2 linked regions of the Lonchura striata genome follow. The protein of the gene in region 1 interacts with the protein of each later gene in a pairwise test. Links are inferred from orthologs where the notes say so. Each region holds a gene or a part of one and is shown on either strand. Other genes may lie near its edges.

The links.
Region 2: the proteins of AQP2 (region 1) and ERG28 interact in binary tests that used the Homo sapiens proteins (3 or more experiments, as listed by UniProt). The link is inferred for Lonchura striata from reciprocal best matches to the Homo sapiens genes AQP2 and ERG28.

What each region holds. Positions count from the first base shown.
Region 1 is NC_134629.1:4,966,431-4,982,775, forward strand, and holds AQP2 (aquaporin-2), read left to right. Parts: upstream 1-8,987; coding exon 8,988-9,353; intron 9,354-11,337; coding exon 11,338-11,502; intron 11,503-12,213; coding exon 12,214-12,294; intron 12,295-13,195; coding exon 13,196-13,411; downstream 13,412-16,345. UniProt on the Homo sapiens protein: Forms a water-specific channel that provides the plasma membranes of renal collecting duct with high permeability to water, thereby permitting water to move in the direction of an osmotic gradient. Plays an essential role in renal water homeostasis.
Region 2 is NC_134608.1:22,976,278-22,992,543, reverse strand, and holds ERG28 (ergosterol biosynthetic protein 28 homolog), read right to left. Parts: upstream 8,857-16,266; 5' UTR 8,781-8,856; coding exon 8,648-8,780; intron 8,494-8,647; coding exon 8,403-8,493; intron 7,179-8,402; coding exon 7,060-7,178; intron 6,900-7,059; coding exon 6,820-6,899; 3' UTR 6,373-6,819; downstream 1-6,372. Other genes in the region: choline/ethanolamine transporter FLVCR2, read left to right, coding at 4,369-4,419; tubulin polyglutamylase TTLL5, read left to right, coding at 9,725-9,804, 13,543-13,652, 15,431-15,513.

The sequences.
Region 1 (16,345 bases):
GTGCCCAGATCCCAGCTCAGTGCCCAGATCCCACCTCAATGCCCAGATCCCAGCTCCGTGCTCAGATCCCACCTCAATGCCCAGATCCCAGCTCCGTGCCCAGATCCCAGCTCAGTAACCAGATCCCAGCTCAGTGCCCAGATCCCAGCTCAGTGCCCAGATCCAAGTTCAGATCCCAGCTCAGTGCCCAGATCCCAGCTCAGTGCCCAGATCCTAGCTCTATGCAAAGACCTCAGCTCCATACTGAGATTCCAGCCCCAAATCCACACACAGATCTCAATTCCAACACCTAGATTCCAACTCCACACCTAGATCCCAGCTCCATATCCAGATCCTGGCTCCACATGCAGATCCCAGCTCCACCCCCAGCTCCCAGTTCCACACTCCCCCAAAGCAGAGGCAGGAGCAGCTTCTTGCTCAGGAATTTATTTGAAAATGTTTCATGTAAAGGCCAGGAGGTATTTGGTGCAGTCCAACGTTTCCTCCGGCTTCCTCTGACTGCTGCATCTCAGCCTGAAAAGTATCCTTGCTTTTTATCCCTGTGGACCCCAAAGTTCCCTGCCCTGCTACAAGGGCCATGGACTGACCTTGGGCTCAGGTGAGAGAAGCCAAAAACCTTTTTCTTTCTGCCTCAATCCCAGCTGGTTTTTAGAGGGATTTCTGGAAATAACCCTCTTCTTTCCCTGCCCATCCCTGCACCTCCTCACCAGGAGCAGCTCCCCAGGAAAGGCACTAGCACAGGGATAATGTGCAGGGGACAGGACAGGAGGGGACAGGGAATGAGAATGAGAACCTTGGACCCCCAAGGCTGGAGGGGACAGGGAAAAGAGGCTGCAGGTGTCAGGGGACACAGGACATCATTCCTAGAGCCACCACCAGGACCAATTCCCAGCAGTGTCTAACACTGGTTTTCATTTTCTTTTTTAACTCGGGGATCACCTGGAGCTGGCCTCTTCCAGAGCTCATTCCCTTCCAGCCCATGGCCCCGGATTACTGAGATTTACATAGAATGAGGAAAGCTGAGCTCAGCCTGGCACTGCCCGTGGCACTGCCCTGTGGCACTGCTCCGTGTCACTGCTCGGTGTCACTGCACCGTGTCACAGCCACTCCCCAGTCCCACCCGCAGCACTGGGGCTCTCTGAGGAGTTTGTTTGTGCAATCAAACCCCTGTGCAGCCCAGCCGAGCTCTCCTGCCCGGCTCTGTCACCAGGGTCGTGTCCCACCCTCCCTGCTCCTCACCGACATCACATTCCTGCCAGGCACCCAGCAGGGCCATGGGGGCTCCATCACTTGGGAATCTGCTCCTTGCTGGGTGTCCTGGAGTCTGGCTGGAGTTGTTTCATGGATTGGAGAGAAAAGCATTCATTATTTTCCTGTAAATGTTTATGTGCCCTGGCCTGAACTTCAGCACCCAAACATGGGAAGAATGTTCTCCTCTCTGCCATCCCTTAGGTGGGACTGAAGGGAGGTCCCAGCTTCCATCTCTCATGTCATGGGATGTTGGGAATGGCCAAATCCCAGAGAAGTTGTGGCTGTCTTATCTCTGGAAGTGTCCAAGGTCAAGTTGGATGGGGCTTGGAGCAACCTGGGATAGCGGGAAGTGTCTCTGCCATGGCAGGGGTGGGACAGGATGGCTTTAAAGTGCTTTCCAACCCAAACTGTTCCATGATTCCTGCTGGGCCAAAAGGCTCCGTGGTCTCCACACCCATGGCAATGTCTGATCCCAGCAGGATCCACAGCCTGGCTCTGGCAGCACCAGTCTTGCTGTCTGCTTCCACTAAAGCCCAGCCAAACATTCAGGACTGAACTTGCAAGTCCTTGAGATGGGATAAAGAAACCCAGCAAAGCCTCTCAGGCGGGTTCTGCTCCTGGCCCGCACCCAAGGTCCCTTTGGGAGGCACTGGAGGGAATCGGGGCTGCAATAATCCATGTGCCTCCCTAAGGAACAACAAACATAGCCAGAGCCAACAGAAGCTCTGTGCAAAAAGGGATTTAGGACTCGGCCTGAAAGGCAGAGAAGGTGGGGATTTTTCCCTACTTTGCTCCCCTGGGTGAATGTCCTTCGGCAGTGGGAGAAAATCCCTTCTCCTGATGGTCACCAAAAGGGACCTTAAACCCCTCTCTCACTGCCACAGCTCCCTGCTGGAGAGGGGCTTGGGACAAGGGATGGAGGGACAGGACACAGGGAATGGCTTCCCACTGCCAGAGGGCAGGGCTGGATGGGAGATTGGGATGGAATTCTCCCTGTGAGGGTGGGGAGACCCTGGGATGTGTTTCCCAGAGCAGCTGTGGCTGCCCCATCCCTGGCAGTGGCCAAGGCCAGGCTGGACAGGGCTTGGAGCAGCCTGGGATAGTGGGACGTGTTCCTGCCCATGGCAGAGGGTTGGAATTCAATGGTTTTTAATACCCTTTCCAACCCAAACCAGTCTGGAATCAGGCAACAGGAGCCAAATCCTGGAAAAACCCAGCAGAGACTCCCTCCCACAGTGAGGGTCCTGTTTGGCCCTGTCCCTGCTGAGGGACCCCCACTCACAGCCCACAGCCCCTCCTGTCTGGGGATCCTACCACGATCAGGACTTCCAGGGTGCAAAGATCCCTGGAGCCCAACTGCTGCTGCTGCTCCAATTCCCGGATGGAAGCCAGGCCAAGGGTTTCTGCCCCTGCTGGTCCCAAGACAGGTGAGTCCATTCCTTCATTCCATCTGCTTCCCAAGCCCACGGCTGCCATTCCCCACACTCTGCTGGGGAGCAGGGTGGCACCAAATGCTCAGGCACATCCTTCTTCCAAGCTGCCAACAGAGAACCTCAACCAAGAACAGCATTTGTCACAATACAAAAATTTAACTTTTTTCTTTTAAAGGCTGCTTTTGAAGAACTCTCCAAGACAGGATTTCAGTTTTGCCCATTCCAGTTTTACCTATTCCAGTTTTACACATTTCAGTTTTTCCCCTTCTTTGTGAGACAGAAATCTTGCATTTCAAGGAACAACAGAACCAAAACCATTCAAGTTTGTACAAAATTTTCTCCTAAGCCTTATTCCAGTGGTGGATTCTCCAGTGTCCAGTGAAAAGGACGTTTGCTGCCATGGGAAGCAGCAGTTCAGGTTGTCCCATAGGCTATTTTAGAGGAGTGGGAGTCGCCTGCAGGTGCTCCCTGCTCCCAGAAAAGAGCAAAAAATGGGATTTCCAGCAGGGTCTGGGTAGCGCATGGGACTCCTGTGACAGGTCGGATCCAAGCAGGAAAATGTGCTTTGTTTATGCAATAAGTGTTTTTGTGGCTCCGAGGTATTTCAGATGGAATGGAGATACCTCAGGATGTTTATACTTTCCTGGAAGCCAGGGGAGCAGAGATATCAGGGCCATCTAAAGCACTGGAGGAGCTCCTGGTTGTGCAAGAACCGTTCCCTGCTTGCAAAACGTTCTTCAAAATACGGCACCTTGGAAACGTGGCACCGGGACCTTTCCTGCTGCACCAGCATGGGGCTCAAACATGGGATTCCAAACACAGGGCTCCAAACACAGGGCTCCAAACATGGACACCAACAAGAGGCTCAAACACAGGGTTCCAAACACAGACACCAACACGGGGCTCAAACGTGGGATTCCAAACACAGGGCTCCAAACACAGGGCTCCAATCATGGACACCAACAAGAGGCTCAAACACAGGGTTCCAAACACAGGGCTCCAAACATGGGGTTCCAAACACAGACACCAACACGGGGCTCAAACATGGGATTCCAAACACAGGGTTCCAAACACAGGGCTCCAAACATGGGGTTCACACATGGACACCAACACGGGGCTCAAACATGGGATTCCAAACACAGGGTTCCAAACACAGGGCTCCAAACATGGGGTTCACACATGGACACCAACACGGGGCTCAAACGTGGGATTCCAAACACAGGGCTCCAAACAAGGACACCAACACGGGGCTCAAACACGGGGCTCAAACATGGGATTCCAAACACAGGGCTCCAAACATGGACACCAACAAGAGGCTCAAACACGGGATTCCAAACACAGAGCTCCAAACATGGGGCTCAAACATGGGGTTCTAAACACAGGGCTTAAACACGGACATCAACACAGGACTCAAACATGGACACCAACACCAGATTCTAAACACAGAAAACCCACAAAGGGCTCCAAACACAGGGCTCCAAACATGGGGTTCACACATGGACACCAACACGGGGCTCAAACGTGGGGTTCCAAACACAGGGCTCCAAACATGGACACCAACACGGGGCTCAAACACGGGGTTCCAAACATGGGATTCCAAACACAGGACTCCAAACATGGGGTTCCAAACACAGACACCAACACGGGGCTCAAACACGGGGTCCCAAACACAGGGCTCCAAACACAGGGCTCCAAACACAGGGCTCCAAACATGGGGTTCACACATGGACACCAACACGGGGTCCCAAACACAGGGCTCCAAACATGGGGCTCAAATATGGACACCAACACGGGGCTCAAACATGGGATTCCAAACACAGGGCTCCAAACATGGGGCTCAAACATGGGGTTCCAAACACAGGGCTTAAACACAGACATCAACACAGAACCCAAACATGGACACCAACACCAGATTCTAAACACAGAAAACCCACAAAGGGCTCCAAACACAGGGCTCCAAACATGGGGTTCCAAACAGAGACACCAACATGGGGCTCAAACACGGGGTTCCAAACACAGGGCTCCAAACATGGGGTTCCAAACAGAGACACCAACATGGGGCTCAAACATGGGGTTCCAAACACAGGGTTCCAAACATGGGGCTCAAACATGGACACCAACATGGGACTCAAACACGGGGTTCCAAACACAGGGTTCCAAACACAGGGCTCCAAACATGGGCCTCAAACATGGACACCAACATGGGACTCAAACACGGGGTCCCAAACACAGGGTTCCAAACACAGGGCTCCAAACATGGGGCTCAAACATGGACACCAACATGGGACTCAAACACGGGGTTCCAAACACAGGGCTCCAAACAAGGACACCAACACGGGGCTCAAAGACGGGGTTCCAAACACAGGGCTCCAAACTTGGAGCTCAAACATGGACACCAACATGGGGATCCAAACACCAACACAGGGCATCAACAAGGGGTTCCAAACATGGGGCTCAAACACAGGGCTCAAACATGGACACCAACATGGGGATCCAAACACCAACACAGGGCATCAACAAGGGGTTCCAAACATGGGGCTCAAACACAGGGCTCAAACACAGGGTTCAGTACACAGGGCTCCAAACACAGGGCTTAAACACAGGATTCCAAACACGGACACCAACACGGGGCTCAAACACAGACACCAACACCAGATTCCAAACACAGGCAACCCACAAAGGGCTCAAACACGGGGTTCCAAACACAGACACCAGCACAGGATTCAAACATGGACATCACCAGATTCCAAACACAAGGAACCCACAAAGGGCTCCAAACATGGGGTTCCAAACACAGGCCATCAACATCGGGCTCCAAACAGTGGGTTCTAAACACAGACACCAACATGGGGCTCAAATACAGGGAACCAACGCAGGGCTCCAAACACGGGGTTCCAAACATGAGCCACCAACATGGGGCTCCAAACACTGGGCACCAGCATGGGGCACCAGCCGGAGGCACCAGCATGGGGTTCCAAACACGGCGATGCAGCATGGTACGCCAACACAGAGTTCCAGTCATGGGCTTCCAAACACAGCGAACCCACATGGGGTTCCAACACAGGGTTCCAACATGAGACACCAAAATGAGGCTCCAAACATGAGGCACCAACATGGGGTTCAAACAGAGGGTACCAACAGACCATTACAAAGACAGAGTTCCAAATATGGGCACCCACACAGGGCTCCAAACACTGGACACCAGCACGGGGTTCCAAACACAGGGTTCCAACATGAAGCACCAACACAAGCACCACCATGAGGCACCAGCTCAGGGATCCACACAGGGCACCATCAAGGGGTTCCAAACATGATGTTCCAGCATGGAGTTCCAATGTGGAACATGAACACAAGGAATCCATGGGCTGGAACACGGGCACTAACATGGGGTTCCAAACATGGGCACCAACACAGGGCACAAATACAGGGTTCCAAACATGGGGTTCCAAACATGGCACCAACATGGGGCACCAACATGGGACACAAATGCAGGGTTCCAAACATGGGGTTCCAACACAGGACATGAAGATGAGGGACCAACACAGGGTTTAAACATGAGGCACCAGCACAGGGCATCCACATGGTGTTGCAAACATGCGGCTCCGAACATAAGACATCAACGTGGGGCTCCAACACAGGGCACCAGCATGAGGCACCCACATGGGTTCCAACCTTCTGCAGATGCCAACCTGCTCCTCCAAGATCATTAAATTTGCACTTGGTCCCAGGGAGGGCTGATAACACCGTCACACTCCAGGGGCTGGGGCTAACAGGTAAAATAATGCACTTTCCCAAACTCGTTGGACTCCCTCCAGGGCTGGAATGCTCCTGGCTGCTCCCAAAGCAGCAGCACACCTGGGGTGAGGTGGAAAGCCACATTTCCATCATCTCCAGTAGCTCCAGGACCCCCTCCTAGACAGAACAGATTCAACAGCCCATTCCCAACCCTCCAGCTTGTGGCATCTCCCATTTTTCTGGGGTAGTGCCCAACTGTGGCACAGCCAGGAAACCTTGGCTCTGCCACTGGCTCAGTGTCTGGAGTCAGCAGGATCTGCTTTTGTGCAGTGGATGGATTCCTCTGTAAAACCAGTGGAATTACAGTGCTGGGGGTCTCTGGGGAAAGCTGGGATGGGCTGTTCTTGCTGGAAAACACCATCTCCCAGCAAATGCCATTGACACCATGACAGCCAGTCTCGAAATGCAGCTCTGACCCTTTCCCCACAGTCCAGCACCACAGGAACCCTCCCCCATGGCACAGACAGCTCCAAGCTCAAAACAAACATCTCCAGTTTCAGCACCAGCATCTCCAAGCTCAGTACAAACAAGCTGCCATGAGTTTTGCATTTCCAGACAAAAGTCAGGACCATGGGGTTGGACTTCTAAGTTGCTCAGAACTAATCCTGCTGACTTCTTCTTTTTAATTAGTCCTGAGCACTGAGATATCCCCACGCTCCTCACGAGTAACCACTAATCAGGCAGGGTATGAGCTCCAGTAATTACCCAGATTTGATCTCCATCCTCCCTGCAGTAATTGCAGCCCTGAGTAACTCCTGCCCTGAGAAGGGCTGAGCCCTGTGCCAGGCATGTGGAGCACGAGCCTGGCCAGGACCGTGATCGTGGTGCTCAGCAGCACCCAAATCCCTTTAGCCTCCAAGCCTGTTTTACGAGACTGACTCCACTGCTGGAAAAGCTCTGTCTGGAGAGATGCTGGGGCGGGACACAGTCCAAGGGGAGGATTTTCAGAGGAAAAGGTTTTATTAGACCACAGTCCCACCTTGTTCAGACTCAGCCATGGGCTGGACTTGTTTTTCCCACAGTCCCTCACTTGTTAAGAGCCATGTTCCCTAAAACCATTGTTTAGAGAAAAAAAGAGGGAGAGGGAGAGGGAGAGGGAGAGGGAGAGGGAGAGGGAGAGGGGAAGGAGGAAGGGAGAAAAGAAGGGGAAAGGGAAAAAAAGAGAGGAGGAGAAAGAAAATGAGAAGGGGAAAGTGGAGGAGGAAGGAAGGGAGACAAGAAGGGAGAAGGAGGAAGACGAGAACAACGGTTCCATTGGAAGGGACATATGTCCATCCTCTGCTCCACCTGGGAGCTCCTGGGATACCCCATCATTCCATGATATAATCCCACCAATGTGGAACATTTGCCATTAGCCCCATGGCACTTGCACAACTCCTCTGGAAGGGAAAAATACTCAGTTTATTGTAGAGCAAGAGCCTTTGTTAGAGCCCAAACGTGGACACTTGGTCCTGGGGCTCTGTATCCCTCTGGGATAAAACGGTCCTTCCAGCTACAGCTGGAGGAGTGATCACACCTCAGAGCTGGCCCTGGAGAGGAAAAACCAGCTCCTCAATTTCCAGTAAAGCCACCAACCCCAATGACAAGGCGAGGAAAAGGTTTTGCAGATATCCTTCAGGAATGGGAAATGGAGAAAAGGGAAAAGAAACTTCTTGGGCAAGGAGCAGATGGGAAGAATCAAACCCCAGAAAAGAAATTCTCACTCTGGGATTGACACCGAGAACTAAAAGGATGTTTATGAAGAGCAGAGTTGGCCAAAATGGCCATAATTGGGGCACAGTTGGTGCTCCAGTCCTGGGGTCACATTTTCACATGGGAATTTCTGACAGTCTGCTTTGGGATTGATTCCCAATTTTCTGGGTAGGAAATCTGTGCCCAGGCTGTAAAATTCTGGTGCTATGAGCAGCTGAGCTGTAGTGAACCCCTTTTGTGCCTCCCTTGCACTCACTTTTCATGGAATCATGGAACATCCTTGGTTGGAAGGCACCCTCAAGGATCATTGAATCCAACTCCTGTCCCCGCACAGGACACCCCCAGGAATCCCTCCACGTTCCTGGATTTTTCTGGTTGTTAAATCACAGCCCACTGACTGATTTTCAGCACAACCTGAGCTCAGCTCCAGCTCTGCAGATCCCCCATTGCTTCCTGCCCTTTGCATGTTCCCAGCTGCAAGAGCAGCTCTGGGGATCGATCCCAGGTAAGGAAGCCCAGGAGAAAAGGAGCAGTCCTTGCCAGCACTGCTGGAGGCTGATCTGCGACCTCCCCAGGGCGGCGAGCGCCGCATTCCCCGGCTCTCATAGACGGGGCAGGATCTGATGTGCCCTCAGCTGGAACACAGAAGGAAAAAAGCATCATATTTCCCAGGACCATGATCCCATCCCCTTCAGCAGCTGATCCTGTGGCCCTCCCGCCTCCAGGTATATAAATGTTGTCCCGGGTGACCCTCAGGGACACAGCAGGAGGTGGGCACTGAGGACGCTGTGGGCAGGATCGTTCCCAGGAGCCTCCATGATGTGGGAACTGCGCTCCATCGCCTTCACCAGGGCCGTCCTTGCGGAATTCCTGGCCACTTTGGTCTTCGTCCTCTTCGGCCTCGGCTCTGCCCTGAACTGGCCCTCGGCGCCGGCCCCGAGCACCCTGCAGATCGCGCTGGCCTTCGGCTTGGCCATCGGGACGCTGGTGCAGGCCCTGGGCCACGTCAGCGGCGCCCACATCAACCCCGCCGTGACCCTGGGCTGCCTGCTGGGCTCGCAGCTCTCCCTGCTCCGCGCCCTCTTCTACGTGGCGGCGCAGCTGCTGGGCGGCGTGGTGGGCGCTGCCATCCTGCACGAGGTCACGCCGCCCGACGCCCGCGAGGGGCTGGCCCTCAACAAGGTCAGCCTGCGGCGCCGGGTGGGCTTGGCAGGCGGGGGGACACGGGCAGGGTCTTTGGGAACCCGAGGGGTGGGAGGAAGGGGCTTGTGGCCAGCCCCAGAAACCCCCTCAGCTGCCCCGAAACCTCCAGCTGGGGATCCCGGAATTCCCTAAAATTCCCACTGGGAATTTTCCTCAGACAACCGGGAGAGGCCCAAAATCGGGGGTATTCTGTGGGAATTTCATTCCAAATCCACCCAAAAAATCCCTAAAAACCCCCTCAGCTCCCCAAAATCTCCTGCCAGGGATCCCAGAATTCCCAAAATTCCTGAAAAATTCCCAGAATTCCAGGTGAGGAAGCCTCTGAATGCCACAGCTCAGTACCTGCTGGACCCTGCTGCTCCAACAGTGCTGCCAGGAGCAGGGATGAAGGCAGGACTCATCTTCCTCCTCTAGTTTTAGGGCTAAAATTTCCTGAGGTCCATCAGCTATTTCCCACTGAGCCACTTCTTCCACCTGGGAAATTTTTGCTCTTTTCATATTGGTGCCAAAAACATCTCCTGTGTTTGGGGCTAAAGCCAGAGGAAGGATCCATCTGGTCACAGACACACCCCTTGGAGTCACAACCATCTCATTTCTCATTTTTCCCCAGGACTGTACTCAGGGGACTTGGATTCTGGGGCTCCCAGGGGTTTAAGGAAGGAGACATCCAAAACACCACCTCTGCATTCCTCTGTCCCAGGCTCGTGCAATTTCCCCTCTGGTGGGGGTACATGCAGCCTTTCCCTGGCTCTGTTTTGGCCAAGCCACAGTTCCCAGGTTGCTGAAGTGGTGGGCAGAGGAGGGATTTGGGTCTACATCCCAGATTTTCATTAGATTCAGCTTGTTGCCTCCCACCGTGGAGGAATGATCGCACCAAATCCAGCTGGTTCATCCCAAAACCCAATACATGGATTCCCCAGAGCTTCACAAGGACCTCAGGCTGGTTTCAGACAAGGAAAAAAATAAAGCCAGGGAAGCTTAGGAAGCCATGGGGGATTCTCCAATGGTATCCTGGCCTCCAACACCCCCTTCCCCACAGGAGGGGGAAAAGGAATTGAAACCCAGGGATTCACTGTCCCACCCCAGCGGGGCACAGGCACCTGCCAGGATCAGCATCACCCAACCCCAAGGGAGCTGGGTTGGGAAGCAGCACATGGAAATCACCTTTCCCACAGCAGGGAGGCACTGCCAGGACTCAGCTGCGCTGCCAGAGTGATTAAGAGGGTTAAAAAGAGGGATTTGTGGTTTACTCTGAATGAAGCGATTTAGACTGGTAATGACTGAGGGTAATAAAAGCGGGAGGTTTAAGGGAGACTCAGACTGCTCAGCTTTGTTGGTTTACAGCTTAAACCACCCAAAAGTGGGAACCGGGGATTTTGAGCAGGCTTTTATCCCCTGTGAGCTGTTCATCGTGTGGCTGCCTGCACAGATTACCCCTGTAAAAAGGGAGGGGAATACTGGGCAGGAGAATGAGGAAGATCTGACTCTGGAGCTGGGGCAGGACCTTCCTGGGACCGCCAAGCAATGGGATTAGATTTGGGGGACACGGGGAAAGAAGGGACTGAGTTGGAGGAGAGGGGGTGCCACTAGGATCAGCCCCAGATCAGACCTGACAAATTCTCTGAGTCAAAAAAGTGTGCAAAGGGAATTTTTTTTTTTTTCTCATGCAAAAATATTTATTTTCAATGTCTTCAAAATGCAACTTGTAAACTTTTCCAAAAGGCATTTCGAGTAGGAGGAAAAGAAAAAAAAAAAGAAAAATACAAAAAAATTACCAATAAAATATCCTGAGAGGTCAATCAAGCATTTCCCATTGAGCCACTTCTACCTGGGAAGTATTTTCTTATTGGTGCCAAAAATCTCCCCTGTCTCCTTTGGCTCCCCCTGATTTTGGATTCCTCCTCCATATTTCCCATCCACTCACAGAACTCAGCCTTGGAACATGTTTTTCCTCCCATTCCAGCTGCACAATGAGACCACGACGGGGCAGGCGGTGACGGTGGAGCTGTTCCTCACCTTCCAGCTGGTCCTGTGCATCTTTGCTTCCACAGACGAGCGGCGTGAGGACAACCTGGGCTCCCCTGCCCTCTCCATTGGCCTCTCTGTGGCTGTGGGGCACCTCCTCGGGGTGAGTGGATAGGCCAAAACTTGGCATTTTTGGGGTTCTTTTTTGGTTTATGCCCCAAGTTGGTTTGGCTGCATCTCCAGGCTTGGCAGGGAATATGAAACCCGTGGTTTTCCAGTAGAGAGAGGGAAAAATCCCACCAAAGCCATGGGGGAGCTATGGCCTGAGCTCAGCCTTTATTTGGCATGAAAAACTTGATTTTCTGGACCCTGCCTCTCCTTGAGTCCCATGGGGAGTTCCAGGGATCTGTGGGATCTCTCCTGGAGCGAACGAGTTGGCCGCTGGGGCTCTCAAGTGCAGGATGAGCCTGGGAAGTGTTTGGGATGGATGCTCGGGGGAATCCCACCTGCGTGACGGCCCAAAGCAGCCCCACTCCCAGTGCACGCGGGAAAGCGCTGCTGGTCTCACCACACCTTCCATCCTCAGCGCTCCACGAGCCCCTGCATCCATGGGACCCTTCCTCTCCTGTCCTCAGAGGCACGAGAGGGAATTTTCTGCAGGACTGGGAGCTCATCCCCACAGCTCCTGGGGCTGCAGCACAGCAACACCTCACAGTGCTGACTCAGGTGGTGGCAGCTCCTGGGATCCCTTTTCCCGGAACAGGAATGCTGAAGGGTGAAGCAGCAGCTCAGCTGTCACCCTAATGACACCCCAAATTTTTTACAAATGAGGCAAAAGGGCTTAAGCTGACAGCAGCCATGGTGTTCCCGGCAGATCCGCTACACCGGCTGCTCCATGAATCCCGCCAGGTCCTTCGCCCCTGCGGTCGTCGTTGGAGACTTCAGCGACCACTGGGTGAGAATTCGGCTCTGGGAGTTGTGTTGGATGAGTCCCCCAAACTGCCAATATTCCTTGAAACTCAGCAAGCCAGACAAATTCCAGGCATTTCCATGCCAGCTCCCAGCTGGAGGAGAGAAGGAGAGATTAGGAGAAAGAGGTGGGGCTGCTGGGTGTTTAATTGGCTTTTCCAAACTGGGAGCATTGCAACAGGATCAGGGTGTAAGGTCTGTTGACGTGACTTAGCACAGGGAACAAAAGCAATGGAGAGTGGAGCTGCTGCCAGTCCTGGGGAACTTTCCTGGTTCCTGGATCTAGGTACGCCTTTGGGAACAACCCCTGGCTCCCCAGGGAATGGTCATGGCTCTGAGCCTGCCGGAGCTCCAGGAGCATTTTGGCAGTGCTCTCAGGCACAGGGTGGGGTTGGTGGTGGCTTTCCTGAGCAGGGCCAGAAGCTGGATTTTGAGGATCCTTGTGGGTCCTTTCCAGCTCAGGAGATTCCATGATTTCATTGGTTTCATCTATAAAGAGCCTGGCTGGAGGCAGAAGGTGGTTCCTGATGTGTTCCAAGGTGTCTGGCCCAGGCAGTGCCTCCACCTCCTCCTCTTCCTGCTCCTCCTCCAACAGCAACCCATGAGTGGGTAGGAAAATGCTCCTCCAGATGATGCCACATCACTCAGCACGTTCACAATGGGCCTGTCGTTAATGCAGTCTGAGCAGAGGGGGAATGGTAGAAGAGGACGGTTTGGAATATCCCGGCAGTGGTGGGGAGCTCAGATCCCCAGCGATGGCCAAAGCAGAGCTGAGTTCGTGTTTTGTTCCCAGGAAGGAACCCAAGCCCCTGGAATGCCCCTCGGAGATCCCAGTTCTTCCAAAGTCAGGCTGGGTTTTGCTCACCCCACTTTTCTCTCCTCTCCAGGTGTTCTGGGTAGGTCCCCTGATTGGGGCTGCAGCAGCTTCCATCCTCTACAACTACGTCCTGTTCCCGCAGGCCAAAACCTTCTCGGAGCGCTTGGCCATCCTCAAGGGCTGCGAGCCCGAGCAGGACTGGGCCGAGCGCGAGGCCCGGCGGCGCCAGTCCGTGGAGCTGCACTCTCCCCAGACCCTGCCCAGGGGGATGTCTGAGAAGGTGTAGCCAAACCTCTCCCTGGGCCGAGAGAGGAGCTGGAAACCTCTGGCATGGCTCCAGTGCTCGTCCAGAGGAGCATCTCACCCCTCTCCTCTGTCCCTTCGTTTCTCCTGGGGCACTGAAGTTGACTCCTCTCCCGGGGAGATGCTGTGCTGTCCCACCCACCTCCTGTCCCCAGCTCTGCCCATGCCCGGGGGGTTTCTGCTCTGGGGGACAGCCAGTAAATCCCGACCCCGCAGGAACAAGGGAGCTCCCCAGGATGCCCTCTTCCACGTCCCCCTCGCAGGACACGGAGCTTGGCTGAGGCTGCTCCCTCCCAGAGAGCTCCGAGGAGCCTGAGGAGTGTTCATTACCCTGGGTGTGGAGGTTGCCACCCGATGCCTCATTGCTGCTGCGCTCTGCTCCCGTCTCGGGTCCCCGCTCGGCTCTTGGCTCACATGCAGGAGCAGGAGCAGGAGCACTGAGCCATGAGTGTCACACATGACAGGTTCTGCTGTGAAAGGGACCAAAGTGCCATTTCCCACCCGCCACGGGACACAGAGGTGCTCCCACAGGGGATTTCCCGGGAAGATGGGACTGGGAGCATGGCCATGAGTCCCTGCAGGCCCCACTGGGGTGCACGTGCAAATTGTCTCTCCTGTGAAACAGCAAACCCAGGTTACAGCCCAAACTTATACCCACCTTATTGTTGGGCCAGGGTTGTCCTGGTTGTCCTTCCTCTCTCTCCCCGGTTTTCCCTTCTTTCGTCTGGTCTTGTTCCCCTCAGATCCCCTTGACGCTCAGATCACCTGGAACACACAAAGGAAAGATTTCACACCCAGCGTGCTCCAGGTGTGAAGAATCAGAATCATGGAATAGGTTGGATGGAAGGGACCTCAGACCCCACCCAGTCCCACCCCTGCCGTGGGCAGGGACACCTCCCACTATCCCAGGCTGCTCCAAATCCCATCCGACTTGGCCTTAGGCACTTCCAGGGATCCAGGGGCAGCCACAGCTACTCTGGGAATTCCATTCCAGCACCTTCCCACCCTCACAGGGAGGAATTCCTTCTCATCTCCATCACTTGCTTCTCACATCCCTTTCTCGTGGCTGCATCACTCCAGACCCTCCAAACCCCTCCCACCCCTTCCCTCTGCCCTCTCAGGACCTGGTCATGGTCCTCAGCCTGGAAAAGGAATTTGGGCTGGCCTTTGGGTGAACTTTGCTCTTTCAGCCATTGATTTAACCCCATTTCACTTGCTCTGCCCCAGATTCTGCAATCCCAGAGTGAATCCCAGCAGGGTCTCCAGCATTGCCCCACCGATATCAGCCCCAGCAGGATTTCCTTGGAAAGGCTGTTATGGGAATATTCAATGAGATGGGGCCCAATTCCAAATCATAAGGGATGATTTATGGATCGTTCCCAGAATGGAAATTTCCATTCCCCTCTTCTGGCAGGACACCCCCCACCACGGGATGCTCTTCACTCTGCTCCACTGGCACCACCCCCTCCTCCCATCAGATCCATCCTTGCCTTCCTCCCCGTGCTCTTCCTCAGGTGCTGCAGTGGCTGTTGCTGGAGGGGTGAGGAGGGAGCCCAGCTTTGATCTGGCCCAGACCTGGTGTGGTGTGTTCACCCACAGCCAATCCCTGCAAACAGCCCCAGAGGCTTTGCCAAGGCACTTCCAGCCCTGGTTTGATCCTCCCGAAAACAGGGATTCTGCTTCCCTTTGCTCCTTGATGGTGAATTTGAATTTTGGCTCAGAAGAGGCTTCTCAAAAAAATCCCTCTGTTCTCAGCAATGGCAATAAAATCATGTTTTACATCAATACCAGTATCAAAATCGTATTTCTGTTAGCAAATGATCACTTTTAAAAGTCACGTGGGGCTTTTGATGCTTTTTAAAGGAAAATTAATCCATGTTTGTGTGCAGGAAAATCCCAGCAGACTTTTCCAGAAGTCACCCTGGGCATGTTCTGCTGTAGAAAAAGCCACAGCTGAATTAAGTTATTTATTTAAATTAATGTTAGTGTGTTCAATGTCTCTTCTCCAGATCGAAGCATTTCATTTATTATTTACCCTGACAATGTTTAAGTCTCACAGGACCTGAACCTGAGGTTTAATGTCTGATAATGGCTCTCCTCTTCCCCATTAAGTGCTTTAAATTCCCTTTTACTGCCTGAATTCAGAAATAGGGATCAAATACTGACATATTTATGGAAAACACTGACATTATATTATATTTATATATATTATTTATGGTAAATAATAGATATAAAGTCACTCCCAGACCCCAAACTCCTCAAGCAGGTAGCTGAAGCAGCCCCAGTCTTCCCAGGAGTACAAATTCACTTCCCTGTGGACCTGTGACACTTCCCAAACTTGCCCTGTCAGGAAACCACCCAGACATTCCAGACTGCTCCAGGGGAGATGGAATTGGAGGGCAGGATCAGGACCCTGGAGCTCCATGGACCAACCATAATCCTCCCTAAACTGGCAACACTTGGGATGTCAGAGCCAGGATTTGAAGCATTCCCGTGTCCTTCCACCCCCAAGATGACGAGGTTTTCCCCTTCTCCCACCTTGGGGTCGGGGGTGCCTCAGCTTTGGGCTGATCCTTCTGCAGAGCTGTAAAAATGCCAGAGCATTTTGCACACACCCACATCCCCTTCCTTGCCCTTGCTGCTTGGCTGCCATATTCCTGGAACCATGGAATTGTTTAGGCTGGAAAATGCTTTGGAGACCATTCAGCCCAAGCATTTCCCTGACCATGTCCCCAAGTGCCACAGCTCTGAAATCCCCCCAGGGATGGGACCCCACCCCTGCCCTGAGCAGCTGTCCCTGCTGTGGAAAACCCCTTCCACTGAGGAAATTTCCCCCAAAATCCAACTAACCTCCCCTAGCACAGCCTGAGGCCATTTCCCTTGTCCTGTTGTTCCCTGGAGCAGAGCCTGACACCCC
Region 2 (16,266 bases), on another chromosome or scaffold:
TCCTACTTGCCTCCATATTTTCTGATTTATGACTGTCATTACAGAGACTCCAAGGCAACAATCAGATCATGGATGATGGGACTGTAGCTTGTAAATCTAACCCCATCAGTGCCCCTCCCGCTCACTAGTTTAAACACACCAAGGTAGGAGAATTGCACTAATCTACTTCTCTCAATGCTCACACGGTGGCACAGGCATGGAGCCAGTGGCATTCATGGGGTGACTGCAATGGCTGTAGAGTATTAAGAATCTTTCTGGTCTTCTCAGGTACTCAGCTGAGAGGAAAGACAAGACAGCTTCCAAGAACAGTGGAGATCTCCACAGGCTCATGTCAACAGAGATGTAGGGATTCAGCTAGGTGCAGCAAAGAAAAGCCTGGTGCTGGAGCAGATGGAGAACTGAACTGTCAGTCATTTGTTAGGGAGAGGAGGTGCAGACATTTGGAGCCACTTCTCTGTCATTATTTTTACAGTCCAGATTCTAGGCTGGAGGTGATACCAGAAACCCTTTAAAGAATTGGGTTTTGATTACAGCCAGGGTGCATGGCCAACTTCAAGAAGGAAATTTAAAAACATGTAGCAAGAACAGAGTCGTTGGGTTGGTGCCTTATGCTATAAGAATGCCTGAAAATTGTGAAGCTCTGTGTTTGTTGATCTGTGAATGTCAGTGGTACTTTGCATTTTCTCAGCTCTTGCTTGGGATGGTAATGCTTTGCTACTCACTGTCCTCTGTTTCACACCGACAGGCTGATCTACTAATTTATCCATGCTACCCCTTGCTTTTCAAGGTGTGATAGACTGTGTGTATCATTTAGTGCCACAGCCAACAGGACTAACATGCAGAGCAAGTTGATTGCAAACTCCAGCCTTAACTCTCCTAAGATTAGGGTATGTTCTACAGGGAGCATGAAGCTTCTATGCTTTGATGGAAATATCAGGAAGAGTCCCATGGGCAGAGAGTGTTGGTAAATGGAGTTATATCCAGCTGGCATCAGCTCACCAGCACTGTGCCCCAAGGCTTAGTATTGGGACAGTCCTTTTTAATGCCTTTGTCAATGACCTGCATGAAGAGATTGATTTCACTCTTAGTCAGTTTGCAGACCAAGCACCAAGTTGGGCAGGAGTATTGTTGAAAGGTTGGAAGGGTTTGCAGAGGGAGCTGGATAGGTTGGATCCACAGGTTGAGATCATTTTATGAGGTTCAACAAGGTGAGTGCTGAGTCCTGCAGTGCTACAGGCTTGGATAAGAGCAGCTGGAAAGTTGCACACTGGAAAAAGACCTAGGAGTGCTGGCCAGCAGCCACTGAACATAAGCCAGTGTGTGTCCAGGTAGCCAAAAGGGCCAGTGGCATCCTGGCTTATGTCTGAAATAGTATGGCCAGCAGAACTAGAGAAGGGTTTGTCCACCTGTACTAGGTGAGGCTGCATCTCAAGTCCTGTGTCCAGTTTTGGGCCCCTCACTACAAAAAGGACATGGAGGTATTGGGGCATATCCAGAGAAGGATAGCAGAGCTGGTGAAGGGTTTGGAGCACAAGTCCTGTGAAGAGCACCTGAAGGAGCTAGGGTTGTTTAGCCTGGAAAAAAGGAGGCTCAAGGGAGACCTTTTTGCTGTCTACAGCAACCTGAAAGGAAGTCATAGTGAGTTGGGGGTCAGTCTCCTCTCCCAAGTAACAGGTGACAGGACAAGAAGAAACAACCTCAAGTTACACCATGGGAGATTTAGATTGGGTATTAGGAAAATTTCTTCACCAAAAAGGTTGTAAAGCATTGGAACAGGCTGCTTAGGGAAATTATAGAATGACCAACCCTGGAGGTATTTAAAAGACATGTAGATGTGGTTTTTAGGGACATGGTTTAGTGGTGGACTTGGCAGTGCTGGTTAAATGGTTGGACTCGGTGATCTTAAGGGTTTTCTCCAGCCTAAACAATGCTGTGGCTGTTGCAAGGAGAAGACTCAGAGTCAGTTGTGAGCTTCCAGAGCTGTAGAGTTGTGCAGATCTCACTTTCCACTGAAGCATTGTACCATTGGCTGTGTAGCAGTTTGTCTTCTATTGGCGCCCTCATCTGCTATGGTTATAATTAAACAACTGTTGCAGTTAGTAGATTAAATTAGCCTAACGGCATTGTGTACACCTTGTCCTCTATTAATTAAGCTGTAATGTGGTCCCAACAATCCTCCTCACTTTTGTCTGCCTCAGTTCCCAGAGCTCCAGCTGGCTTAGCTTTCTGTATCTCAGGACACTTGGATCAAACACCTGTTTTATGTGATAATGAGGCTCTTTGTGTGCTGCCCTTGTTGTAAATGCATCTGAAGTGTTGTGCCTTAAGATTTCATAGTAGTGTCAGCTGATTCACCACACACATTATACTCATGAATATGCTGTGTACTGCTTGTGATTTGCAGCATCCATGCAAACCTTTTTGTATTGTTTCTTTGCATTAAGAAAAAGCATCTTTGCTGATCTTCCATAGTTTGTTTAGGACAAGTGTCCACCCTCAGTAGCTTACTGGATTCTAGTGAAAGCTGCACCATGCTTAGCCTCTAGTGAAATACTGCCAATAAAAAAAAGCTGGAATTTTGTGTAGTAGGCACAAATAATGTGAACTCATTCTTTGCTTTCCAAAGTGCCCTACTCATTTCTCTGTTTACTGTGTGGTAAGCGGCCTTCTCCTGTACCAAAGCCATAGGCAGGCCATCTGCGTGCCCTTTTCCAGTACTGTGACTCAGCTGTGAGAGCAGCTTTCCTTTCCCAAGGTAGTGGAGCCCTGCAGACTGTCTAGTCTAAATCTCTGCTCCCATAGCTCCACAGCAGATGAGTGGTGCTGAGACCCCAGATGTGCTTGGGAAGCCTGTTCTGAGTTGCTTGAGTGCTTCCATGGTGTATTCTGGTGGAGTTTCTGTAGTCTAAATGCATATTTCCCCTTATTCCTATCTCTGGCACTACTTCAGGCATCCCCTACCCTTCCTGCTTGTTCAAGTTCCCTCTTTGCACTTCCTGGCTTTTGCTTTCAGACATGTCTTTGAAGCTTTCCTTATCTCACTCCTCTGCTTTGGGATATTGCAGCTGACTTCTGCAAAACCTTTTCACCTACAGATTGTGTAAGAGCCTACTCAAAATGAGACTGTTTCATATCTCTTCCTTCCATGCTGCCTGGATTTCTCTTGAACTGCACTGGGGGTGTGAACCTATTTCCTGTGCACCTCTGATTTCTGCCTCAGATGTCAGTCTTGCCTTACAGTGAGTAAACTCAGAGCCCAGGCTGCAGGGGACCTATACACCTTTACAAGTCTGAGTCCTGTCTTCTGAATTGGTGACAGCTGGGCTGTCTCCCTGTAAGGAGAATTAGAACTTGAGAAGTATGCTTTCCAAAAGGGGAAGAAAAAGTCTCAAGTTTAATCCTAATACACTCCAGAAAGGCTCAGAAACTGAGCTTGTCAAACTCCATCTAGGAAAGCTGAACTGGAATTAGAACAGTTTGGCTGTTCCATGAAGCTGAGGATATGGTAGTAATTGGGCAACAATCTCCATTTTCCTTGCTTTTCCTCTGGGGAAAAGCTCCCTCCATCTTAAGGTTCCAAGAAATCAGGCTAGTTCTTCCATATGATTTGTGGAGAAAAAAACTTAGGTATGTTTACCTCTTATTTCTTATGTCTCTTTAAGATATAAGTAGTGAACTTTGAAGAAGGCACCACTCAGTGGAATTATCTCAGCCATAAATCCAAGCTGGGGAAAGGGAAGAAGCAGGACAGAGGGTGCCAGCACTTCAGTGGGCAGTGGGAGTGGGAATGAAAAGATTTGGAAGATGAGCAAGATAAGCAATGTGTCTGGGAGTTGAAGAGGCCTCAAACATGCTGGAGTAAGAACACAGGGGAACTAGTGGTTGTTCTGAGCCTCCTGAGGATGTAAAGAAAGCAAGTTCTCTCTGGTGTTTGCACAGACACCGTGCTGCCTCATGGCATGAAGGAGTTCCCAGCACCTTCCCTCCCCCAGGGAACTAGCCCTGCAACTTCATGCTTTGAGGCTGACCTTGTGTCACAGTCAAATGTTGGTGAGCTGGCTGTGAGTCTGATACCTCCAGTGGTATCAGCCCCGCAGTGAATTCGTAATGGTCTGAGGACTACAGCAAGTAGCTTAAACAGTGGGATGTTGCACTGCCCTGCTGCCCCAGTGCCCCTTCTTGGGCAGTCAGAGTTGGTAGAGAAGGAAGAGGGAACCAGCAGCACTCTCTGAGGATGGTGATTCTTCTTTGGGGATTTCTGTAGTAGCAGGGAGCTATGAACTACCCAGGCTCTGGCCAGCTGATGTCTCTGAAGCCAGGGTCTGGCCAGCCAGGATCCTAACCATATTGTTTTTCTCTGACTTGCAGAAAGTGTTGCCAGAAGCCTATACTATAGTCCTTGAGGAATCACGGCTGTGAAATGAAGGGGTGGCAAAGCTGGGAGATACAGCCCCCCTCATTCCTCTCCTCCTATACCTGCACCATCCTCCTGTCACATGCATGCCACGGGAGGGGAGCAGCCTCAGGACAGAAACCCTGTGAACTGCTTGTGGAGAGTGTTAAAGAGCAAAACAAGAGGGGGGTTGCTTTTGTCAGTTTTGTCCTTGCATCACGCTGTTCTGGTGTTTGGGAGAAGAAGTTGGGAAAATGCTATGCTTCCCCAGCCCTACCATGTATGCTTGGAAAAAGCATATGTGCTGAGAGGAAAAGTCACAGTACCAGGCTAACCCTGAGCATGATGGTGGCACCTTGCATGTGGCTGCGACATGAAAGGCAGAAGCTGGACCACACTTAACTCTGTAAGCATCCCTGGAAAAGCTGGCTCTAGGGAAAAGGGATTGCTCTTCCTTGGTTCCCATGATGCTCTGTGTTGCACAGGTAGTAGTAGAGGTCTCAGTATATTACCAGCAAGTGCAAAGCAGTGCACCAGCTGCTGCCAGCTCTTCTTTTATTATTTGGCTTTCCCAGATGAAGCACTCTTCATCTGGATAAACTTCTACTCGGAATTCAGCATGATTAAGATATAATAATTAAGAGATACTACATGCCTCCTTCTAGCTTGAGGCAAGGACTGGTTCTGAAACCTAAATCTAGCTCATCACTACATTAGCAACAGAAATGAGTCAAACCACTATTTCCCTGGGATGAGGACTGTGTCTTCCTCCTTAACAACAAAGTGCCTTTTGCGTGTTTCAACCTTACACAGAAACTTTTGTGAAGTGTTACATTGAGAAAAGCAGCCAAGGGTGTATTGCTCTTCACAGCCACAGAGAGGGGTATGATGGGAATCCAGCTTTGCTCCAGTGTGGAAGCTTCTCACTTCCTAATAGAGAACAGGAGAAGGTGCCTACTTACCAGCATTTGTGTCTTACAGACACTGCCCATCAGTATGCTGTTTATCTTCCAAACACAACTGTAGATCCTTTTATCACTTCTCCATCCTTTCCAGCATCCCACCCCTGCTGGAGACATCAAGTGTCCTTATATTACTTGAGTCAGGGGACAAAAGCTGTACTGAGGTGGAATGGTTAAAAATATTCATCTCTGACAAACTATTTTTGACAAAACATTTTTAAATGAAATTTTAACATTTTTTGATACAGCCTGAGTTCAGTAAATGCTTACACAATACTCTCAGGCTCATGGTGTGATTCTTACAGGTCCTGTGCAAGGCCAGGAGTTGGACTGTGATCTTGATAAATTTTTTTCAAATTCAGCATATTCTATCATTAAAGTCTTATCTTTGATAGTCTGGGATTGAGGATGGGGTTTTAGAATGATTTCCATAGAAATTCTAATGTAAAATATAAACATTTGAAGTGTACAGTGAAACCTGGCATATTCATATTAAATGATTAAAAAAACAGTCTACATGTGGCTCATTTAATAGCCTGAAATGTTCTACAAAACGGAAAAATCATCTTTCTGCCTAGTGCTACTACTGTGTTCTTTCTCTCTATTTGCTTCCTCTTTCTTCTGCACATCAATTGCCTTCCCAGCTAGGAATTCTTGCTGGGTTTTTTTCTGCATTCTGTGTACTCCCCACTGTTTTGGGCATAATTTGATCTAGGTCTGAGGAACCTGTTCCTGTTTTTTCCATTTTTTGTAGTTATAACTTGCTATACAGTCCTCAGTCCTCACTCACAGATTCATAGTTTGAGTTTGCTGTCACCAGCATGCTGCAGAGAGCGTCAACAACCCTCTTCATGTGTGTTATGTGAGCAGTCAGACCTGGAACTTTGTGGCAAGGAGTCAGGGAAAGGTAGGTTTGCTGTAAAGAGAGATGATGTATTCTGCAACATACAGTGGAAGGTGCTGTTGGCTCTGATCTTCTACCCACTGCTGTGTAGCAGAAAGACAAACATAGCCCACTGCAGTTTTTGGTCATTTATTAGAAATGGCCCCTGGGGAACACACACATGCAAGTTACACGGCAATGCCAGGGGTAGCACCCATTCTCTCTGGTCCAGTGTTCAGCACATCCTGGATAGTTCTTGCATCTTGTCCCCACAAGTACACCGGGACAAAAGTCCTTAGAGCTCTGGGCATGCCAGAGACTTTTGCCTGCTACCCAGGGAGTCAGTCACCAACTGTCTCCCATAAGCTTTGACACAAACTCCACTGGGACTTGGTCTTTGACATCAGTCAGTTGAAATGTTGCCTGGACAAGACAAAAACAACTTGGTAATGACAGTGATTGACACAGTCTGACACTGACCCACCAGCGGGACTGGTGTCCTGGAGAAATTCAGCTGAGCTTTCATGGAAGTCTGGCAGTGAAGGTAGAAGATGACACTGATCCACAAAAAACCCTCAACTTCAGTTTTTCTTCTTGTTTTGTGATAGCGCTTCTACCTCCAGGTATTGCAGTCCAATCAACATCCCCATAATAGAGAAACCTGTGACGGAGATACAGGATGAATTGTGTAGAAAATGCTGGGCAAGAGATGAGGCATCCCCTCCCATCATCCCCACAGCCCATAGTTGCATGAGGAGTTTTTCTGGGCTATCATAGTTCCAAGGAGAGTATGCAGGGGGAGGATGCAGAGCTCTACTTACTTGCTACCATGAGGGGTGCCATAACTCCAATTGTCAAGGCGGCAGTGTGGTAGATGAAGACCTCAGAGAGGAAGTGAGCAAGGGCCAAAAAGAAGGTAAAGAGTGTGATGTGATAGAGGCTGTTGAAGAGCAGAAAAAAGAAGGTTATCATATCATACTATGGGCATGAATATGGCCGAGTAGAAAAAAAGGCAAACCTGCATGCTGCCCCGTCTGCTCTCACTGGCAGCACAGAGGGGACTTTGTCCCTTGCCTCGTGAGGTGCAAAATCTCCCTGGGCAACAGCTGAGAGGAGAACGGGGCAGCATGTTCAATGGCGCACTGGAAGTCACAGGCATTATCTGGCCTGAAGGAAGGTGAAGAGGGGAGAGCACGAGTAGGGCACCAGTGAAATGAAGTATGTGCACACACAAAAAGAAGGTAAGAACTGGATGAGCAGAGAATTAGGGTGACAAGACTTCTCTGATTCAGGCTGCATCACCCAGTGTCTTCCCACTGGTGCTCTGCTACCCTCTATGGGCCACAGCTGTTGAAAAGGGAGCAGGTTCAAGAGATGCAAAATAAAATTCCTCAAAGAAACAACTGATTCTTGATAACTGGCATTGCCATCACCCCCTAGAAACAATATAGTTTAGTCCCTGCGCCTCCCTATCTCAGATAAGCCTAGGCAATCCAAGCACACACTGCCAGGTGAACAGTGACTTCTACTGCAGGGCCGAGGAAAGTACTGACAAAAGCATTTTAGCAACCACCAATAAAGGCTTTGTCTAGCACTGACCTCAAGTCAGCTTGCTTGGAAACCCCTCTGCTAGCACACAGAGAAATGGTGTGTCTCCCACTCAGCATGAGGCTGCTCCTCAGGCCTTGTTGTCAGCCCCAGGTAAGAGTGTAGGGAAGAAAGCAATTGGTTAATACCACTGCAATGGGGCACCTATAACTGTCCTAGTCTTTAGCTGAGCTGTCATAGTAAAAGAAGTACTGAGCATCAGTCACACCACAACATTAGCAATTGCTTAATTAACAGTGCAACAACGCTATTCAGAAAATGCTTTCCAACCTGGAGCTCAGAAATTGGTGACAGTAAGAGGTTCTCGGATCCACCAGTTTCTGACTGAGCTAAGAACAGAATTCAAATGCGCAGGCTGTCCCCACAGAGGAAGAAGGGGGCAGCAGCTACCACACAAATCCCACACTGCTATTTGAGCTTCTTTAAGGGAATGCTGTCAACGCTATAGAAAGTTCAGGAACAGCTTTTGATTCCCCACCTCCTCTGTGCCGCCCCCTAAGCTCAGGCTGTGTCTAGCAAGCAAACCAATGGATTTCTCGGGTGCTGCTTTACATACGTCCTGTTACGGATGTCGATTGCGCAGAGGCAGCGGATCACTGATGACAACAGGGTCCAGACGCCGAAGGTCCGAGCCTGGAGCCCATTCACTGTGTAAAGAAGGAGGGAGCACATGGAGACCACGCAGAGCCCTGCCTGCCACCCCCAGTGTCGCCGGGCCCCAGAGGGGGACTCCGAAGACAGTGCAAGGCCCATGGCTGCAAGGACACCTCCAGGTGCCAGGGCGGCCGGCGCGGCCCTTACCGAGGCCGGGGCTGGCGGTGTACAGCTTCTCAGAGAGGAAGCCGTGATCGCGGAAGCTCTGCAGGGTATTCCCGGCGGCGATGACCGACACCATCACCAGCCAGCTGCGCAGCACGTTCAGGAACCGGCTCATCCTGCCGGCCGGCTCGAACCCGAGCCGCGCCCGCCGGGCCCGGCCGCGTCCCTGCGCGCTCCCGGCGCCGCTCCCGCCCACGCCACCGCCCCGCGCTCCCATTGGTCACTGCGCGCCGCCCCATGCGCGCGCCACGCTACGTAATACCGCCCCCAGCCAATCGGATCCTTCGTCGCGCGGGAATCATGCCCGCCTCGTCCCCGCCCACCTCGCGGGAGCGAGTGAGCGCGCCGGCAGGGGGCGGAGCCAGTGCGCCTGCGCAGTGAGGCGGCGGGGCGGCTGCGCGGCGGGGCGGGGCGCCGCCCGTCGGTTGTTGTAGTAACGGGGAAGCGGCGGGAGGGGCCGGCGCTGCCGTGCGCGCCCGGCCCGGCGCCGCCAGCCGAGCGCGGGCAGGTACGGCTAGCACGGGGACCCGCTGCCTTAGGCGCTCCCCTCCGCTCTTGCTTCTTCTGGGGCCGCCGGAGGTCGCCGTGCTTGGCCTGGCCGGGCCAGGCCGGGCCGTAGCCGCCCCTCCGGGCCGGAGCGCCGCTCCTGCGCCGGTGGAGGCGTTACGGTGTCCGGCTGGCCCCGTGCGGCGGGGCGGTCCTGGCGGGCGTTTCCCGTTGGGCTGGGCCGGCCTGGCGTGGGTCTGCGGCCGAGGCAGGGCGGGGCAGGGACGCGCGTTAGCGGTGAGTGCCCGAGTGGCTCCCACGGGCAGGTGCGGAATGATCTGCTGGAACGGGATGCTGCTTTCTGCACTCTCGTGGCTCCGAGGTGATGTTTGACAGATCACAGATGTTTAACAGACTTGTTGATAGTATTGTAAGAAATATCTACCGGCAGGAAGTGGTAGTTACCTGATACCTCTTGCTGTCCTGCTCAGCTCTTCATTCCTGCTTTTAATCCTTACTGCAGGTAACTGCTCTTGCAACTAGGCCTGGGCTGTATGAGAATTTCCAAAGGAAATGCCAGTTGGGATGGCTAAAGATCTGGAGGAAACTGGCTCATCCTCAGAGGAGGAAGAAGATGCTGTAGATGCACTGGAGTAAGTAGGAAAAGCCTCTGAACTGTTTCTATGTCCTTGTGCTTTCTGGTGGATCTGTAGTAGTTTGAAGAGACAGATGTATTCCTTACCCTCCTGCCTATGAAGTGAAAGATGATTTGTTTCAGCCTTAAACCTATGAGCAGGCTATCTACATCTGCAGCCTAAAAGACCACCACATTCATCCGGGATGGATGTGCAGCTTTTCTTGGCTGTTCTGAAGTCCATATTTTCATGGATTTCTTTCTGTCATGTTCCTAAAATGGGAATGTTTTGATGATACATGTTCCTTTTTTGTTGGGTTGTTTTTTTTTTTTTTTTTGGCATGTGTGGTTTTCTGGGGGCAGATGTTTGTGGTTTTTTTTTTGTTTGGTTGTGGTTTTTTTTAGTTTTTACTGCTGCAGAGATTAGAAATCTGCTGTACAGTAGATTGATATATGATGTTTCATGCCGTTTTTATAAAATTTTTGATTTATAAAAGTCTTTTGATTACTACTAGACTTCATTTTTCTTACAAGTAACAAGTTTTAATATTTATTCCATCTTCGTTTAGTAACTTCTTTTAGCTATGCTTGTGAAGGGATTGCTCTTTTATTCTTTCCCATAGCAGAATCACTTGTTTCACCTGGACCTACTTCACTGTGTCCTGTTAAGGGTTTTTTTGGATGCACATTGTGACTGAGTGCTCAGCTGCTGACTACAGTGACTTAAGACATTTAGAGGAATGTTGCTTCATAGCAAGTGGTTGGCTTAGGTTTGCTGGATCCTCATGGATGGAAAGGTCCAGAACTAGCTTCACCTGGAATGTGACTGTAAGAGTATGTCTGCATCTGGTGACTGGGGGTCATGCTAGGAATGAATGACTGTCACCTGGAGGATTGAGCCTTGCTGCAAATCCCAGGACAGGCTTAGTATAAACTCCTGTCTTGTTGCCTCAGCTCATTTTCCACTTACATAAGGCTCTGGCCTGTAGTGTAAATTCTGGAAGCTTCTTGGGTCCCTTCCAATCTGAATAGGTAATTACACCCCCGTTGTAGGTTTTTTAAAAAAATACTTTGTAGAGGTAGCAGAAGCAGGTAGAAGTGCTGTGAAGTTAATTTGTCTGGATGATAATGGTAGTAGCTTTGTTAAGAGGACCTAGGCTACCCTTAAGAGCCCTTGTCCATGCATCAGGAAGTTGCCCATCTATCTCTGTTCTTTTGTTCTAAGTGTTTGAGGTGTTTTGTCTAGCTTTTCCAAATCTTTGGCAGACAATAATCTTTCATATACAAATGCTTTTGTATATCTCTGACAGTCTTTGTATTTCTTCTTGTTAGTGTAGAGGTGTCTTTCCAGCCCCTCAGTCTCTGTTTTCTGTTAACTTCTTCATGTTTTTAATTTCCTTGTGCAGTGGTAGTAAACAGCCTGAGTTTTATTTGCTTAGGAAGGTTGACAGATTTTCTTTATGTGATCCTAGAATTTGATATAACAGGTCTTAATATTTTTTTTTTGTGTGTCTATAATTTCTCTGAGGAGATTATATTTTCCAGTGAACTCATGTTTTGTACAGAACTGATCACTGTATCTCAGAGCCTGTAGCTTAAGTGGTGCACTGGGGGGCATCGTTCTTGAATTCTGGTCATGCATTCCTCTGTATCTGGCAGGAGTTAAAAGGGAAGAATACACAGCTTTATCTATTGTGTTGAGCCAAGTCTGTTCTAGTCCCTCAAACTCTGCATTATTGCTTTTTTGTGTACTTCTGACTCCAGTCAGCCAGGCTGACTGCACTGATCCGCAGTTCTAAAATTGGAGGCTGGAATCTGCATTGCAAGGTCTGGTTATGTGGATACCAGCAACTGTGGTTTATCATGAATTATAGATCTCATTTTCAGGCTATAAATTCAGAGAACTGTAGCTGTGAAAGCTCATGAGGCCTCTCCTAAATTATACCCATTAAAATAAATACAGAACTAAACAGGATTAAACAGAAATTGGGCTGGCAAGACCAACTCAAAAAGAGGGTGATGTGAAGATTCTCCTTATAGCTGAGTACCAAGGGTGCTGTATTGCATTTGTGTGGCCAGTTTTAGTAGTAGGAGAGCTATGGTGGTGGGTTCTGTGAGAAGTTGCTAGAAGGTCCCTCCATGTCTGACAGAGACAATGCTCCAATATGGACCCACCACTGGTCAAGATGGAGCCCAGGAATGATGGTAGAAACACTACTGTGATAACATATCTATGAAGAGGAAAAAAAAGTTATTGTATGGGGGTAATAGTGCTCAGAAAAGAGAGGAGTGAGAATATGTGACAGGAAGAGCTCTGCAGCCATCGAGGTCAGAGGGCAAGGAGGTGCTCAAGGTGCCAGAGATGGGATTCCCTGCAGTCTGTGGTGAAGACCATGGTGAGGTAGCTGTGCCCCTGCAGTCCCATGAATATCTGTGGGGGTGCAGAGAGCCACCTACAGCTCGTGGAGGAGCTGCACACTGAAGCAAGTGTGTGCTCAAAAGAAGATTGGGATCCCACGGGAAGCCTGTGCAAGAACAGACTCCTGGGAGGGACCTCCAGACCCATGGAGAGAGGGGATCCTACTCTGGAGCAGATTTGCTGACAGGACTTGTAACCCTGTGGGGGACCCATGCTGGAGCAGCCTTTTCTTTAATTACTGCACCCTGGGGAAAGGGATGCATGCTGGAGCAGTTTGTGAAGAGCTGTAGCCTGTGGACAGGATTCACATTGGAGAGGTTTCTGATGGACTGTCTGCTGTGGGAGGGACCCCATGCTGGAGCAGGGTATGGGCTCTCCCTGAGGAGGAAGCAATGGCAGAAAGAGCATGTGATGAACTGGCTGTAACCCCCATTCCATATTTCCCTGCACTGCTGAGGGGAAGGAGGTAGAGATTCAGGAATAAAGTTAAGCCTGGGAAGGAGGGAGGGGTGGGGGGAAGGTGTTTTTAAGATTTGATGTACTTCTCATTATCCTGCTCTGATTTTCATTGGTAGTAAGTTCAATTAATTTCCACAAGTTGAGTCTCTTTTGCCTGTGACTGTAATTGGTGAGTGATCCCTCTCTGCCCATAACTCATGAGTCTTTTGGTAAATTTTTTCTCACCTGTCCAGCTGTGGAAGGGAATGATGGAACAGCTTTGGTGGGTGCCTGGCATCTAGTCAGGGTGCAGTCTGGAACCAGCACAGATGCCTAGCATGTGTGTGTGTTGATTCAGCACAGGTAGGGCTTAGGGACCACCACAAAACTGCATCTTGAATGCAAAGAGTAAATTTCTTTTCGTTACCTTGCTCACTGGGGGATCCCCAAAGCAGCAAGCAGAGGCAGTCATTGTGGAGCTTGGTCCTTGCTAGAGAATCACTGAAGCTGCTGCTCATTTTTTAGGGATTCTTGCAGATGTATTTTACCACTGTGCTTTGACTTTTCCCACCATAGGGCAGGAGTCTCAAGCATGTTTGATAGAGTGCCTTGAAATCTGTTGCAGCGCTGTGCCATCTGACTTCAGATGTTCTACTTGTGAAACACACAAAGACAGCAGTTAGTATGTCACATGTGTTTTTCTACACCCAAGCTGTAAGTCATTTAGGCATGTTTACAGTCCTCCTTACTAATCTTCCACTATTTTCGCCAGCATGTTTGCTTATGTCCTGTCCACAGGCTAGGTGGGTAAGTATGGAGAATTGCTGTGTCATTGTTGTGACTAACTGCTGCATGTATGAGGCTCAGCTGTTGCTTATACTCACTGTCTTGTCATTTCAGGGGTCATCCATGTATCAAGTGGACAGGTGGTGGCTGCAGGCGGGTCCCTGTCTTAGTATTTCATGCTGAAGCCATTCTGGCTAAGGACAGCTACCTCCGTCTAATTGGAGGTGAGTGCTACTCTGTGCCAGCGTTTGGCTTGAAGGCATGAGGTAAAAGTTTCTTACTGATGGTCCCTTCACTTTGTGGTGGAAAGAGGACATAGTAGGAAATTAGAATCCTCTCTAGTCTCTGACCACTGGGACATTCAGAAGTGCTTAATCTGTTGGTGAATGCTTATAATGTCTTTGTGATAGTGTCTGTCCCTCCACTGGGCCCTGATGTGTTTTGAGTTGTAGCTGTCTGCTTGCAAATTGAACTTGGAGGCCATGCTACAACTTAGAACCAGAACACAAATTCGCCCTAGCTAAGACCTTAAAATCAATCATTGCAGTGAGTTTTAAGAGCATTTCACTGGGAAATAAACAGTCAGCCTCGCAGCTGAACAAGAATAAGCTGTAGTGACTAATCCAAGTCTACAGCCTCACAAGCCCTAGAAGGCCATAAACAAAATGGTTCCTGGCAGCACTTGAGTTGGGAGACCAAACCTGTCTAGTGTCAAGTAAGGGAGAGCCTCTAAAGAGGCTGGATTGTTATAAACAGTCACTTCGGATTTGAAAAGTTAGTACTTGTGGGTGTGTACAGCTGGGGGCTTGTTCTGGATGTGCTGAGTTGGAGAAAAGCTGAAATGTATTCAGCTTCCTTTTGTGAAGGTGCTGACACTTCTTTCTTGTCTTGCTTTTTCCTTTCTTAGGTAATTGGAGCTTTTGTTTCTAATATCCTATCCAAGCAGAAATACTTCTGGCTCATTGGGGTAAGGGGTGGAGAAGGTGGTTTATATGTGGAAACTCCTTATTCTTTTCATGTGAGTTACAAGTGTATTTGGATGTTGCCAGAAGCTGATGGTAATTGTAACTTGTGTTTTTACTGCAGCGTGGAGTCTCTTCTGCTTTTTCTCACACGGTTTAAGGAATTTGCTGAATAGAGCAACTTGTTGAATTTCCTCCAGCTTTGTCTTGCTCCTGATTATGATACTTGATTTTTGATTTACTTTTGTTGATAGAACATATTTCCTGAAGTTTTATTTAATTTTCACCCTTTTATTCTCAGTTTGAATACATTTGTAAACTGCCTTTTCTAGGCAGTTCTGTATTCTAGCATTGCAATTTCTTTCGCTACTGTCTTTGAACTCTTTTTTGGATTGCCACGTCCTTTTTTATTACAACTGACTTCTAGTCTTCTTACTTGCTTTTGGTTTATCTTATACCTCCAGGGCTGCCTATTGTCTTTGTTTTTATGACTTTCTACTTCCATAGTGAATTTTTATTTCCTTATGCTATTTACTTTTTCTTACTGTATTTGTTGGAAGATTGGTACAGGTGAATGAGATGTAAACAAAAGTTCAGTACTTTTATTTTGGGTTTTCAGGATCTAAAAAGTGATCACATAAACTAGCCATATCAATGAGATGCATTAGACATGATGACTTTTAGTTAGAAATACCAATATTGAATAGAGAAGAAAGCTGAAATAATTTTTGGAGTGTTATAAAGCAGTCTGTATAATGGAATGTAAAAAAAAAAAAATGTGGGTATTTTTTAGGTTGCCCTGTGCTTTATTTTTATATGATTGGGTTCTGTGATACTACTATATTACAGCTAAGGATTGATGTAAGTCAGTTGAGTGATGCTGATGTTGGCATTTCCTATCTCCCTTTGCCTGTTATATGCTGCTACTCTCTGTGAATTAAGTGCAGCTGTACTGTCTGAGTCCTTTTCTTTGGTAGCATGACTTTGGTTTATTCTTCCAGGTGCAGACTCTAATCCCGTGTCTCTTTGCCTCCTGACAGAGCACTTCCACATGTCCTATAAGATTGTGCGGACAGACAGCCGGCTGGTTCGGAGCATTCTGACTGCCCATGGATTCCATGAGGTGAATGCAACAAAGTTCTGTCTGATTTTGTGCTGGGCAGGGAGGTGATTAAAATGGTTTTGGATTTTTTTGCTGTGGATGTTTTTTTAACTCTGCAGGGTTAGAACCAGGAAGTTGATGTGGAAGTGGCCTCCCTTGAGATTTTTTGTTTTGCCTTTTAATGTACTCTGCTAGTCAGACTGAAAATATGTCATCTTGCTCCATCAAAGGAGAACCCATTAGTCTTAAGCCTTCAAAAATAAGGGAAAATGAATGCTTAAGTTTGGTCATGTGTCTTTTCTTTTTGCTTTTAAAACATCACACCCTTGGGAAGATCTGAAGGATTTAATTTCTCAGCCTTTACAAGCTTTCAGAAGTATTGATGTAGTATTTGACACTTCTCTTCTAGCACCTGTCTTGCTCTAAAGAATGTCCTGTATGCAGCTAATGACAATTTTGAGAGATGTGTAGGGTTGATTTTTTTCAGAATAATAGCAACTTAAGGAATTGATTGACAAGTCTCCTGAAGAGATTTAAACTGATTTACAAACTGTGTTTAAACCAGCTATGAAAAGAAGTCTCACAACGTTTTTTAAAAAATTTGACATGGTTATTTTCCATCATAGGAATACCTTAGAGTAGCAGTTTGGCTGGAGTTGCCATCCTATTAGAGATAGTAGAGGAGACTCTTAGACTAGAGTTGCTTTGGCCTTATAGATCTAGGGACAAAGTGGTGTTGCTTTTCATTAGTTCAGTGTTTTTGTATGTGGTGTT